2 linked regions of the Mytilus edulis genome follow. The protein of the gene in region 1 interacts with the protein of each later gene in a pairwise test. Links are inferred from orthologs where the notes say so. Each region holds a gene or a part of one and is shown in the gene's direction. Other genes may lie near its edges.

Region 1 (5,844 bases):
ACTTTGTGATTGGATTTTACGAAAAAATGAGGCGAAAGACACCCATTTTTTATTTGATCATTAGGAAGATTTAAGAAAACAGTTTCTAAAAAGGTATCACTCAAAGGCATTGAAATTCTAGTTTGATCCAAATTTTGGGGGGATATATGACATGTTCACCCCCCTTTTTGCAATATTTTATGGTAAATAAATGCTGAATGTTGCCATGGATACACATAAAAGGAATTAATTTTCACCCTTTTAACTTTGGAAAATTGAATCTATGGAAGATACTGATTACACACATATGCACATGTACAACACAAACAGTTAGGTTAATGTATTAGAAATCCAGGAATAGGAGATGATAAAACATTTTGGGGCTCATTTTTAATTTTATTTTCTAACTGTGGAGTGCTACCTTTGGCTTTACAACTATGTTAATCTGAGCGTTACTGATGAGTCGTATGTAGACGAAACGCGCGTCTGGCGTATTAAATTATAATCCTGGTACCTTTGATAACTACTTCAAACTTGCACGACTTTCATATGAGGTCAACCTGACCATTTGAGCAAAGTTTCATGACAATTGATATATATGGCGTTGCATGGAGCAAGAACAATAATCGATTGAAAGAACAAATTTTAACGACTCGTCAAAGACTAACAATATTTAATTTATACCTGCACCCAAAATATGTTCAACAAATATTTAGTAGCAGATATTGGTTTTCCAATTTGCAATTCTGGATCCTGTTGAGTTCCATGTGCACTATTATAACATGTTACTGACACAAGTCAGTGAATACGTGATTTATCTCCTTTTTGGTATTTTTTTTTCTTGATGAACTGGAAGCTTTTCTGACAGAGAAGTGCAAAGTAAAATGCACCCATTATATGCAGATGATAAAGTTATTGTATCTAAAACAAAATATTGCGTAAAAGATAGGAAAATCAGAATTAAAAAAAATCCGGCTGACAAAATTTCTTAAATGTCAAGTGTAGAGGGTAATATTGAAATTAAGGTCGTTAACATTTCATAGGCAAGATAAGTAAGTTTAAAAAAATTCTATCATCAATACATTCATATCAAAATTTTTACAATCGTAATTTACAGCTCTCAGTAAAAGGGGGATATATATTCAAACAGTGAAACTCTTTTAAAGTGAAAAAAATTACTTGCTGTACAAGGCTCCGTGTTGAAGGCCGTACATTGACCTGTAATGCTTTACTTTTATAAATTGTTATTTAGATGGAGAGACTGGTTGTTTCATTGGCACTCATACCACATCTTCCTATATCTATTCTAGTAACCTGAACTCTGAGATCCTAAATAGAAATTATAAATGATTATATTTCTTAAATCTAATATAAATAAACATATGGAATCTTCTCATCTCACTAAACTAAGAAGCAAGAAAAATGTGATACAAATAAGAATAAACGATTATTGTATTCTAATAGAAACTGAAAGATGTTCAATATACCAAGCTTAGTCAGCTTAAGAAAAGGTAAAAAATATAAAATTTTAGGTCACGGAATCTCCATTTTTTTCCTGTTTAGTTTCTTTTTGTTTTGTGTCTGTATTGCTATAACCAAATATGGTATTAAGTGGATACTATTCAAAATAAAAGATTTTAGATTTCTCATATATCGTGTCATTAAAAATAATAAATGAGTAATAATTCAGGTAATATCCGTGTGTAAATGTGTCATCGTTTTTAGGAAATAGTTTTGAAATAGAGTAGCCTCCCTTGACTTTTTCAAATAAGAAAATAAAATGTATTTCAATCGAAAAAAATACATTACGTTACACATTTTCAACGTAATGAAGTAAAATTATTCAAAACGCTCCAGGCATCCTTTTGATTTATGATATCAGTGGAGCTTATCTGTTATTATTATGAAATGATATAAGCGGCCTTCGCATAATCATTTGTCCGCCATGAAGTAAACTATTCAGAAGGATAGACAGACGGAAGTAACGAAAATGTCAGGAAATGTTGGCATGGAGCAGCTTATTCCCATTGTGAATAAGCTGCAGGATGCCTTTTCATCTCTAGGAACACCCCTATCTTTAGATTTACCTCAAATCGCCGTTGTAGGAAGTCAAAGTGCAGGAAAAAGTAGTGTACTGGAAAATTTCGTAGGAAAGTAAGATAATCATCAATTGATCAGAGGTTGCTGTCAGTGGTAATGACAGTCTTTTGTCAGCAATACACATTATGAATATAACTCATATCATCTGTTTATTTTCCTACCAAAAGAATTACACAAGCACTTAATAAATAAACATACAGAAAGGCTCAGACAAGGGGGCGTAAATCGGGTTATAATTTGTTTACTTTTCACTCTTTTCATGTAAAATAATCTAAAATGAATACACAAAATTTCAAATGAATTTCAAGAATATTTTGTAAAAATTTTTAGCTTCTAGTGATATAAACACACACTACAAAGTGAAACCGAATGATAGGTTGGACCACTAGTACTTTCCAAATATAAAATAAGCTGAAACGGTCTAGAGTATGACAACTCTGTACCTTAGGTACATATTTGTATATTTCATATTATTGCTATTTTACGAAATTTTCCTTTGATCTTGCTGAATGATTATTTCCTTTCTCAGCAGAGTCGAGTGATATGAAAATTATCGCTAGTAACTAAGGGGTCACATGCATATGGCGTTGCTAATGAAACTGACATGAAATAGACAACGTCTTCATAGGTAAAATAGCAATAAACAGATTGTTATAAACTTATTGGTCATCTCAATTTGATTGCTGTTCTCATTTTCGCTGTACCGGCTCAAGCGAGGAAATTAATCTCTTTGAGATGTATCTGTAATCTATAAGTACATTTCAAAATATCGAGACCAGTCACCCATACAGTACCGGTACCCCACATCCTCTGAAGCATACATGTATCTTAAATTTCAGATAGTTTGAATTATTTTTTAAAAGTGTAGAAACATTTCTACTTACATGTACCATGAAGTTAATTAAAGATCAGGAAGTAAGAGCATTCATGAAGAATACATTTAAACATATTAATATTTAATTTCATCTATTATATGTGCATTTCATTTTGTTGTCCCCCACAGAGGCGGATTTAAAAGGGTTTTGTCAGTGGCCCCAGGCCCCCCCCCTTTTCTGGGAAAAAAATGTTTGATTATGTAGGGAATCACTGAAGCATGACTGGAGCGGGCCCCCTCTTAGGCAGTCAGTGGGCCACCACTTATGAAAATTTCTGGATCCGCCACTGCCCTGTGCAACATGCTGCAGGGGACATAGAAACACCAGGCTTCCATCTGTTCAACTGTCTGTGCCTTTGTCTGGTATTGTTTATGTTGTTAGCACTCTCACATGTACAATTCTTGCCAGAGTTTTATAATACTTATATCATAGGTTTATATTAGTAAAGTCTTGTACAAATGAGTAATGCTTCTTGGAAAAAAATAATTATATGGAAAATTAAATTGTTAGTGCTCTCATGTGTTCAATTCTTGCTAGATTTTTATGAAACATATCATAATATAGGTTTAAATCAGCAATGACTTGGTGAGGTCTATAACTAAATCAGAGTCAATTAATTCTTTTTAAAAGAGTTATGTCTCTTTGAAAAGTTCATAAATGGATAATTGAATCATTACTTTTTGGTTTTAAAATCTTGCCAGAATTTTATGAAACTTAAACCATAGGACAGGTCTATATTTGCAATGTCTTTGACCATGTTGACAATTTTGCTAAAAGGTGATGATCCGTAATTTTTTAAACCTTAGAAATATTAATTTATAATGCAGTTCATATTGCATTTGCTCTAAAAGTCTTCATTTCTCCAGGATATTAAATAATAAAAGAAGTTCCAATGTAACAATTCTGGTTAATTAATCAAAAAGCTTTGAAATAGTTTGGTTTGAGATAATTTGATGATAGCTACACTTTAGATATTTGTATAACGCAGTGTCATCAAACATGTGTCTGGTCTGTCAGGTCTGTGGTCAAGAGAGTTAAGACTTTGTCAGATGAATGATCTTATAGAAAGAAAAATATTCGGAAAGGTAGAGTTATTAAAGGAAAACATTACAGATTTGAAAAGAAGACTTAAAGTTAGACCAGTATCTTTTTCTGATATTTTTTCTCATACAGACAGAATACATATATGCATTTATCATTGTTAATTGAATAATTAATGTAATCACAATTCTTTCTGTTTTGTTGGGTTGTTGTCTCATTTCCGTATACATCTGACAGTTGGTCATTCTCTAAGGCATTTAAGCAAATTTTGGAAATATAAATGGAATTGGTATATATATCATGTATATTTACACTAAAAAAAATACTCATGCGGAACATAATGTAATTTCTGTAGGTTAATGTGTCCAGGGTTTTTTAAAAGCTAAAAATAGAACAACCTCATATATGAACTCATATTTATATATAAGACATGTAAGACATACAATAGTTTTCATTTAAAACAATGAAAATACATTTGTTTGTAATATTTATAGAAATGACTTCTAAAAATGATGCACACTTCCTTTGAGTATTTAAGTCAAAAGAGTTTTTCAAATATAATTTTGAATACTGGTCTGACATGTGAAAGAAGTCCTATATCTATCATGAAGTAAATTGTTCAGAAAAAAAAAGAAGACACAGTAACAAAAAATGGCAGGAAATATAGGCATGGAACAGCTTATTCCCATTGTGAATAAGTTGCAGGATGCTTTTACTACTTTAGGAACACCATTATCATTTGATTTACCGCAGTTTGCTGTCGTAGGATGTCAAAGTGCAGGAAAGAGTAGTGTACTGGAAAATTTTGTAGGAAAGTAAGACTATCATTTAGATATATATTTGAAACTGTCAAAATCGTGCACATTGTCATGATTTGACTTGTTTTTTTAATAAAAAAAATTCAGGCTTGGTTAGTTTTTTGTTTTTCATGTTTATATATTGAACTGTTTAATTAAGATTTATTGGACTAGATTTTTTCAAGTTTTCAAGCTAGAATTAAACTCATTATATTCAGACTGCTAATAACCTTACAATATTATTTTGGGAATTTATTATAATTTAATCCCGATTATAATTATTATAATATAATCATTAATGTATTTGCATTATCATGTTTATCATACTTTTGCTTCTTCAATTTGTTTTCAACAAATTAAAAGTTTTATTGGACTAGATGATGTTTTCAAGTAAGAATTAAACTCATCATGCATAAATGATGCAGACTGCTATAAGCTTTTTTTGTGAATTCAATATCATTTATCAGGAATAGATGTGCAGCTAACAAGACAGTGCTGTTTTAAATTGACCCCAATTTATGTCATTCATTGACCTTTAAACTAATAGTAATTATGACATTTAAATGTTCCAGTAACTTGAGGAGTAAGTCATGTAAGTCAAATGTAAGTGAAGCATTTTAGTAAGTTAAATTTTAAACACAATTATATTTATGTGATGTACAATGTATGATGTAAAAATAGTAACCATCTTTTAACTTAAAGAAAATTTTGAAAAAAAAAGTTACTTGTAGAATTTTGATTTTTTTTTTAAAGTTTATGGCAGCAGAAGGTTCCTTGTATCATTGTAAATAAATTAAGAAAAAATGTCTTCCTGCAATTATTCGTCTACATTTAGAGTTGTTACCAGATAAAACATGTATATGGCTAAGTATTCAGTAAAGTGCTGTTTCAATGGGTGTCCCAGAAAAAGGAATTTTTTGATATTTTAAATTATTTTGAGTTTTAATGCAGGTAGCTAATCAATTCACTGCATGATGAAGAGATAATATAAACAGTCTCATATGAAAAGTTTATTGTTGAATAAAGTATTTTATAAATGAAGTGTTGAATTC
Region 2 (5,844 bases), on another chromosome or scaffold:
AAATAATGCTATTTTCAATTTTGTGGAATCCATTTTGTTATATTAATTATACAAAGATAAAAAAAGTTACGATTAATTATGAATTTGCATATCATTATACGGAACGTTTATGGACTATTTTTTAAGTCGGTCATTTTGGCGGTAAATCATGTACACATACACACGTAGATTGGCTGGTACCCGATTGTAATGTTACACATCAAATATATCAAATAGCTAATACCCGGAACGTAGTACCGGGAACCAGGATAATACGTAGACAACATACATAACTAATACCGAAATTGAAAACGCTTTACGGTTTCTCGTTCATAAACCGAATTCCGCTTTGAATTATAGAAGGTGCAATATTAATCATGTTCAGTCGACTTTTCATTGTTATATCAACGTCTGAACTAATTAAAGAATCTTTAGATGTCAGATAACACTTGAAATTGACCCGACCTCTTTCCACACGGAATATACTAATAATGATAGTTTGTAGTCAGGTTGACTGCTTATAATGCAAAATACACACTAATAACAAGTTCTATAAAACGAACAATACACACTGATCGTTTCTTTAGTCCCCAATGTAAATGAAAGAAACAAAAACCATATCATACCATAAAAAGAAGAGGAGAAATTCGAACATTTCCGGATCTATTTCTGGCCAAAAGACCCCCAGCATAGATTGCGTATGAAAAGATGAACCTCATGACTTAAAAGTCAGGCCTTAAAGCACTGCCTTTAAAAATTACCTAATGAGAGCGTTTCTTTGTTTACATTGCATATGACATCATAACTTAAACAACGTCACAACTAAAATCCCTAACATCAGAACCAAAATCGGAAACGTTACGGTATTTCCGTTTTGAAATTAAAATATGTTTGAATAAAAAAAAAATCATAGACTTCGTCCCCTTTCACATGTAATGCCTGCCTCATTTACGGTAGAAAAATCAATAAAAAAAAAAGAATCGTGAAAATTTCCCGAATTTTTCAATATACTATAGAACTCAGGACTATAGGATTGGAACTCAATACCAATTCATTTTTAACCCTTTCAATGCTACACAAAAAAATAGACAATGGCTGCTGCTGCTGCATTTTTTTTTGTGTTCATTCATTAGAACAGTATATTCCTTTTCAGACTGCTGTATCTTTTTTATTATAAAAGATAAAGAGAAAGTTATAGCATGAAAAATGCTCAGGAGAGTATGAACTGTAATATTAGGCAGTTATTTCAGTAAAATTATTATCAGGTTACCTGCATTTTCAGGTAATTAACAGGTAATAGGTGTAATTTATTACATTTATGTTGAATTTTGAATCAAAACTACTTTTAGTCTTCATCTATTTTGTTGTTTTATCTGCCATATAATAAAGACGACACCAATTGCTCGATTCCGTAGCGTATTGCACCATACACAACATATTATGTAATCGTGGCACAAATCAGTGGCTTCGTCCTCAAAATTTTCAGTCAACCTCCGTTTTCCCCCCTTTTTCTTCGTCTCGTAATGATCGATCAAATCATATTTCATATAATGTCATCGCGGCATATGCTGTGTATAGCGTTGAAAGGGTTAATTAATTTATATAAAAAAAAGTTACCTGATGAAAGTGTTTCTTCGTTTACATTGAATAAGACGTCATAACTAAATAACATCACAACTAAATCCCTAACAATTAGTGTCATGTGTACTATTGTTTTTCTGTTTGTCTTTTTTATTTTTAGCCATGGCGTTGTCAGTTTGTTATAAATTTATGAGTTTGACTATCCCTTTGGTATCTTTCATCCCTGTTTTTTTAACAACAGAACCAAAATTGGAAACGTTACGGTATTTCCGTTTCTTTTAAAAACATGTTTGAATTAAAAAAAAATCATACAGACTTCGTCCTCATTTACAGGTAATGCCTCATATTACCTGATATGATATGTATGACTAGGAGTATGCCCATATGGCATGACAACCATACACTTGTGATCCAAATACTAATATTGTCCAGTATATTAAACAGTACTATAAGGCTTGAGAAGACTTTAACCGTCATAGGTAAGGCTATATATACTATAGTACAACTTTTAGTCAGGGGGTATAAGAAAAGGCACTTCACTAGTACTTTAACATACATGTGTGAAGTTGAAAAAAACAAACATCCTGGTAGATATCAATAAATGGTAATTGTGTATTGTTTGTACCTGTAATGGGGCATTTCGTATGAAAGCCCCAGCATCGGCTATCACATGCTTTACACTTTTTTGTGACATTTCTCATTTGCTGTCCACATGAGATTCAATGTCAAAAGGCAACTATTCTGATAGAGATTATTTGTCTTACTTTAAAGCGTTTATATGATTTTATTTTTTTTACAAAATATCTTAATTGAAAAAAATTAGAAAATGGTATTTATTGCAAAAATCATTTATTTTAAAGCACAGAAATTAGGAAAAAGTATAGAATATTTTGTAAAGATTGTAAAAACATATATGAATATAACAACTTTCGACGTCATTGATCACATGACCAATAAGAAATGGTGGACATCAAACTGTTTTGACAGTGCTCGTTCGTAACCAAATACAGGTCAATATTGTCAAAATGCGCATTGCAGGGATGCCCCAATACAAATTCTCACACATATCAAAAAGTTGTGTTTTAAAAATATATCAAATATTTCAGTTGAAAAAAAGAAAACATAGCAAATCGTCAAAGTTGTCACAGCAAACTTAACAACATCCTGCTTTACACACGACTTAAATATTTTATGTAAAATGTTGTCCTAAAAGTATTATCTGTTAATCATTGGACATGCACCATATGATCCTTTATTATCATGACTATTGAATAAATTGAGTTAAAACTATTCAGTATAGACTGTTTTCATGGTTTTGAAAGCTCTTTTTATTACATCATGTGACATAGTCGCATATTTCACAAGAATTATAATTACATATAGGTAAGATAGATTAAAAGACATTCTAATTTTGAAAAATCATGATTACAAAGGTATAGTTGTACAGTTTAAAATTTAAAATCTAAAGATTGCTTACATCGTTATCTATCAGCATGATCAGTAACATGTCTTTTGAAGGAAAAATAATGTTTTCCTGTAAATTATTATATTATGCATCACAACAAAATAATTTATATGGCACATCTTAAGAGTAAGTTGTGCAAATGTCATTAGGTTCAGTGATGTAAAATCAAAGAACAATCAAATCAGATATTGGTTATTTTTCATTCAACTTGCAAGACTCATTATTTTTTGTGTGGAAATATGCAAGCACATTTGGGCGAGCACATTTTTCAATGTTCCTGTAGCCTTAAATAAAAGGTTGGAGACAACCCGCCAAATGGGGAACAAATCAAATGAGTGACAACCCCTCATTTGAGAGTACTCATGTTACTGAAAGCTAGTTCAAAGTCCAAATACATTGTACATACATGTATCTACTAATGAAAATATAATATATCTTAGACTAAATACAGGGAAAATATCAACCAGTGTACATCCAACATCAAATAGATTTGGTGTTGAATGAGTTTCCTTTTACAATAAGTTTATTTAAAAGTATGGATAAGTATAAGGGATTGTATTTAGATTTACACAAATTAAACATCAGGGAAAACCTCACCATGAAAATTAGAATGTGCTTTGAACATGTTGAATGTGGAAAGAACTAGACAGATGTTAATGGTGGAGACAACAAATATCATACATGTACATGCATATAATATATATGGACCTTAAATACCTTTCTTTCATTGTCTTTTACTTGTACATGTAGTCAGCATTGTTGTCCCATTGATATTTTATACTCTCAATAGCTACATCTATTAATCATATTTTGATAATTAGTAAATAATATGGGGATGAAGTCCCCTATTACAGTTCTAGTAGAAAATTCAATAAAAAAAAATAAAAAAAAATCGGGAAAATTTCCCAAATTTTTTATTGTACGAATGAACTCAAAATCGTTCAATTTTATTTTTGTCACATTTTGAAATTCCAGATCTGCGCAGAAATCTACTTCTGTTTCCGGTCTTGTTTACAAGAGACTTTGAATAAAATGTATATTTATAATTTATCAGTCTAACATGTCTAAGAAAGGAACTAATACTAATTCATTTAAAAAAAAAATTATTGTTATTAAAATAACGTTACCTGATGACAGCGTTTCTTTGTTTACATTGAATATGACGTCACAACTAACAACAGAACCAAAATCGGAAACGTTATGGTATTTCCGTTTCTCTTTTTAACATTGTTGATTCAAAAGAAAAATCATAAACTTCGTCTCCATTCAGAGGTATTGCCTGCCTCATATTACATTCAAGAATATTTTGAATTATGGTTTTACCATGTTTACAATGTTTTAAGGACAATATTTTCATGATCTTGGAAAAGAAACAATATTTATTGATGAGGAAAAGTTGATTACATATTGACCTATAATGGTTTACTTTTATAAATTGTTATTTGGATGGAGAGTTGTCTCATTGGCACTCACACCACATCTTTCTTTATCTATGATATAAATAGACCACTTTCAAGTTTGTCTGTCACTGGAAAAAAACTCATCAATTATGCATGTCTTTATGACATGATTTACCAGATAGAGGGGATTGCCTGTATCCCTGCACTATTAGTGATCATCATTGTGCAGGATAAACTAGAAATATTGTTTGTTGGGTAGGTATTTAATCACAATTCCCTAATGACAGCAGTGCTGATTGTAAATTATCAAATCCAATTTGCCGAATAATTCGTGCAAGATAGACATGATAGAATCATAGTTTTCCAACCAATTGCTCAACATGGGAACTGAAGTGACAAGGCCCCTTAAAGCACACATGATGTTTTTGACAGAAATGCATCGAACTTGAAAGTTGTCTGTTGCATTGTCATACATGTTATAAGACTCCAATCTTTGGCCAGATGTATTGGAGTTTACAATTAACCAGAACAAATTGCATGTATGTTCCAAAAAATATTTTCATAGGAAACCATTTATATTATTAAAACACACAAACTACATTTATTTAAGTATAATGCATAAAAATCAAATGAATAGGGCCTGCATGTATCTATATACAGACAGCATAGTAAAACTGACAAATCTTAAGTGACCCGAAAAAGGCTGAAATCGAAAATCAGCTGTGTTCATGTTTACAAAAATTTACTTGTACAGTGCAATAAAAAACTAACAACTTTACCCTGTTTCTTGACATTCATGATTGAAAATTGGTAATACTTTTCTCTATAACATGTATAACTTGGTTGCCCATGAATATCATATGCTGACCTTCTGCATCTACAAATGAAAGTCTCTTGATCATATTTTTAAAATTATGAATTGTATTACAGGTGTACATGTGAGACTTCCAAATAATGGGAGAAGCAGCCTCTGCAGCACAAGGAAATGCTCAATTCTCACAGTTACAAGTAACTGGTAAATATTTTATACTATGTATTTTTGCCTGACCCTATATACATTATATATCTGTCAAAATATACAATGGTCAAATGAGTAGATACAAAATTTACATTGTGATTTAGTTAAAAATCATTCTCATGGTGACTTTTGACAAAGAATGTTGTGAATTTATGCAATTGTATCAAAAGATATATTTCTCCAGAACACTGCCTCAGAATCATAGGGAGAAGTGGTGAGAATAAAAGGAAAATCAATTTGTTTTTATTAAGACCATGAAGACCATGCAGTTGTATCCTTTTGGGATTCCTTTTAACCAACATGTCATTTTGTTTCATTTTTGGCCTTGAGAATTAAATGACCTTGTTTCCACATCTATGTCTTAAACTGTCATTTAGAGTGGTGCTGTGACAGCTGATTGA

Evidence for each region.
Region 2: the proteins of dynamin-1-like (region 1) and NEDD4-like E3 ubiquitin-protein ligase WWP1 interact in binary tests that used the Caenorhabditis elegans proteins (3 or more experiments, as listed by UniProt). The link is inferred for Mytilus edulis from reciprocal best matches to the Caenorhabditis elegans genes dyn-1 and wwp-1.

What each region holds. Positions count from the first base shown.
Region 1 is NC_092345.1:45,841,322-45,847,165, reverse strand, and holds the start of dynamin-1-like, read left to right. Parts: upstream 1-1,890; 5' UTR 1,891-1,969; coding exon 1,970-2,133; intron 2,134-5,844.
Region 2 is NC_092348.1:11,609,608-11,615,451, forward strand, and holds the start of NEDD4-like E3 ubiquitin-protein ligase WWP1, read left to right. Parts: upstream 1-2,483; 5' UTR 2,484-2,570; intron 2,571-5,355; 5' UTR 5,356-5,379; coding exon 5,380-5,440; intron 5,441-5,844. Other genes in the region: RNA-binding protein NOB1-like, read right to left, coding at 2,186-2,254. UniProt on the Caenorhabditis elegans protein: E3 ubiquitin-protein ligase which accepts ubiquitin from an E2 ubiquitin-conjugating enzyme in the form of a thioester and then directly transfers the ubiquitin to targeted substrates. Ubiquitinates klf-1.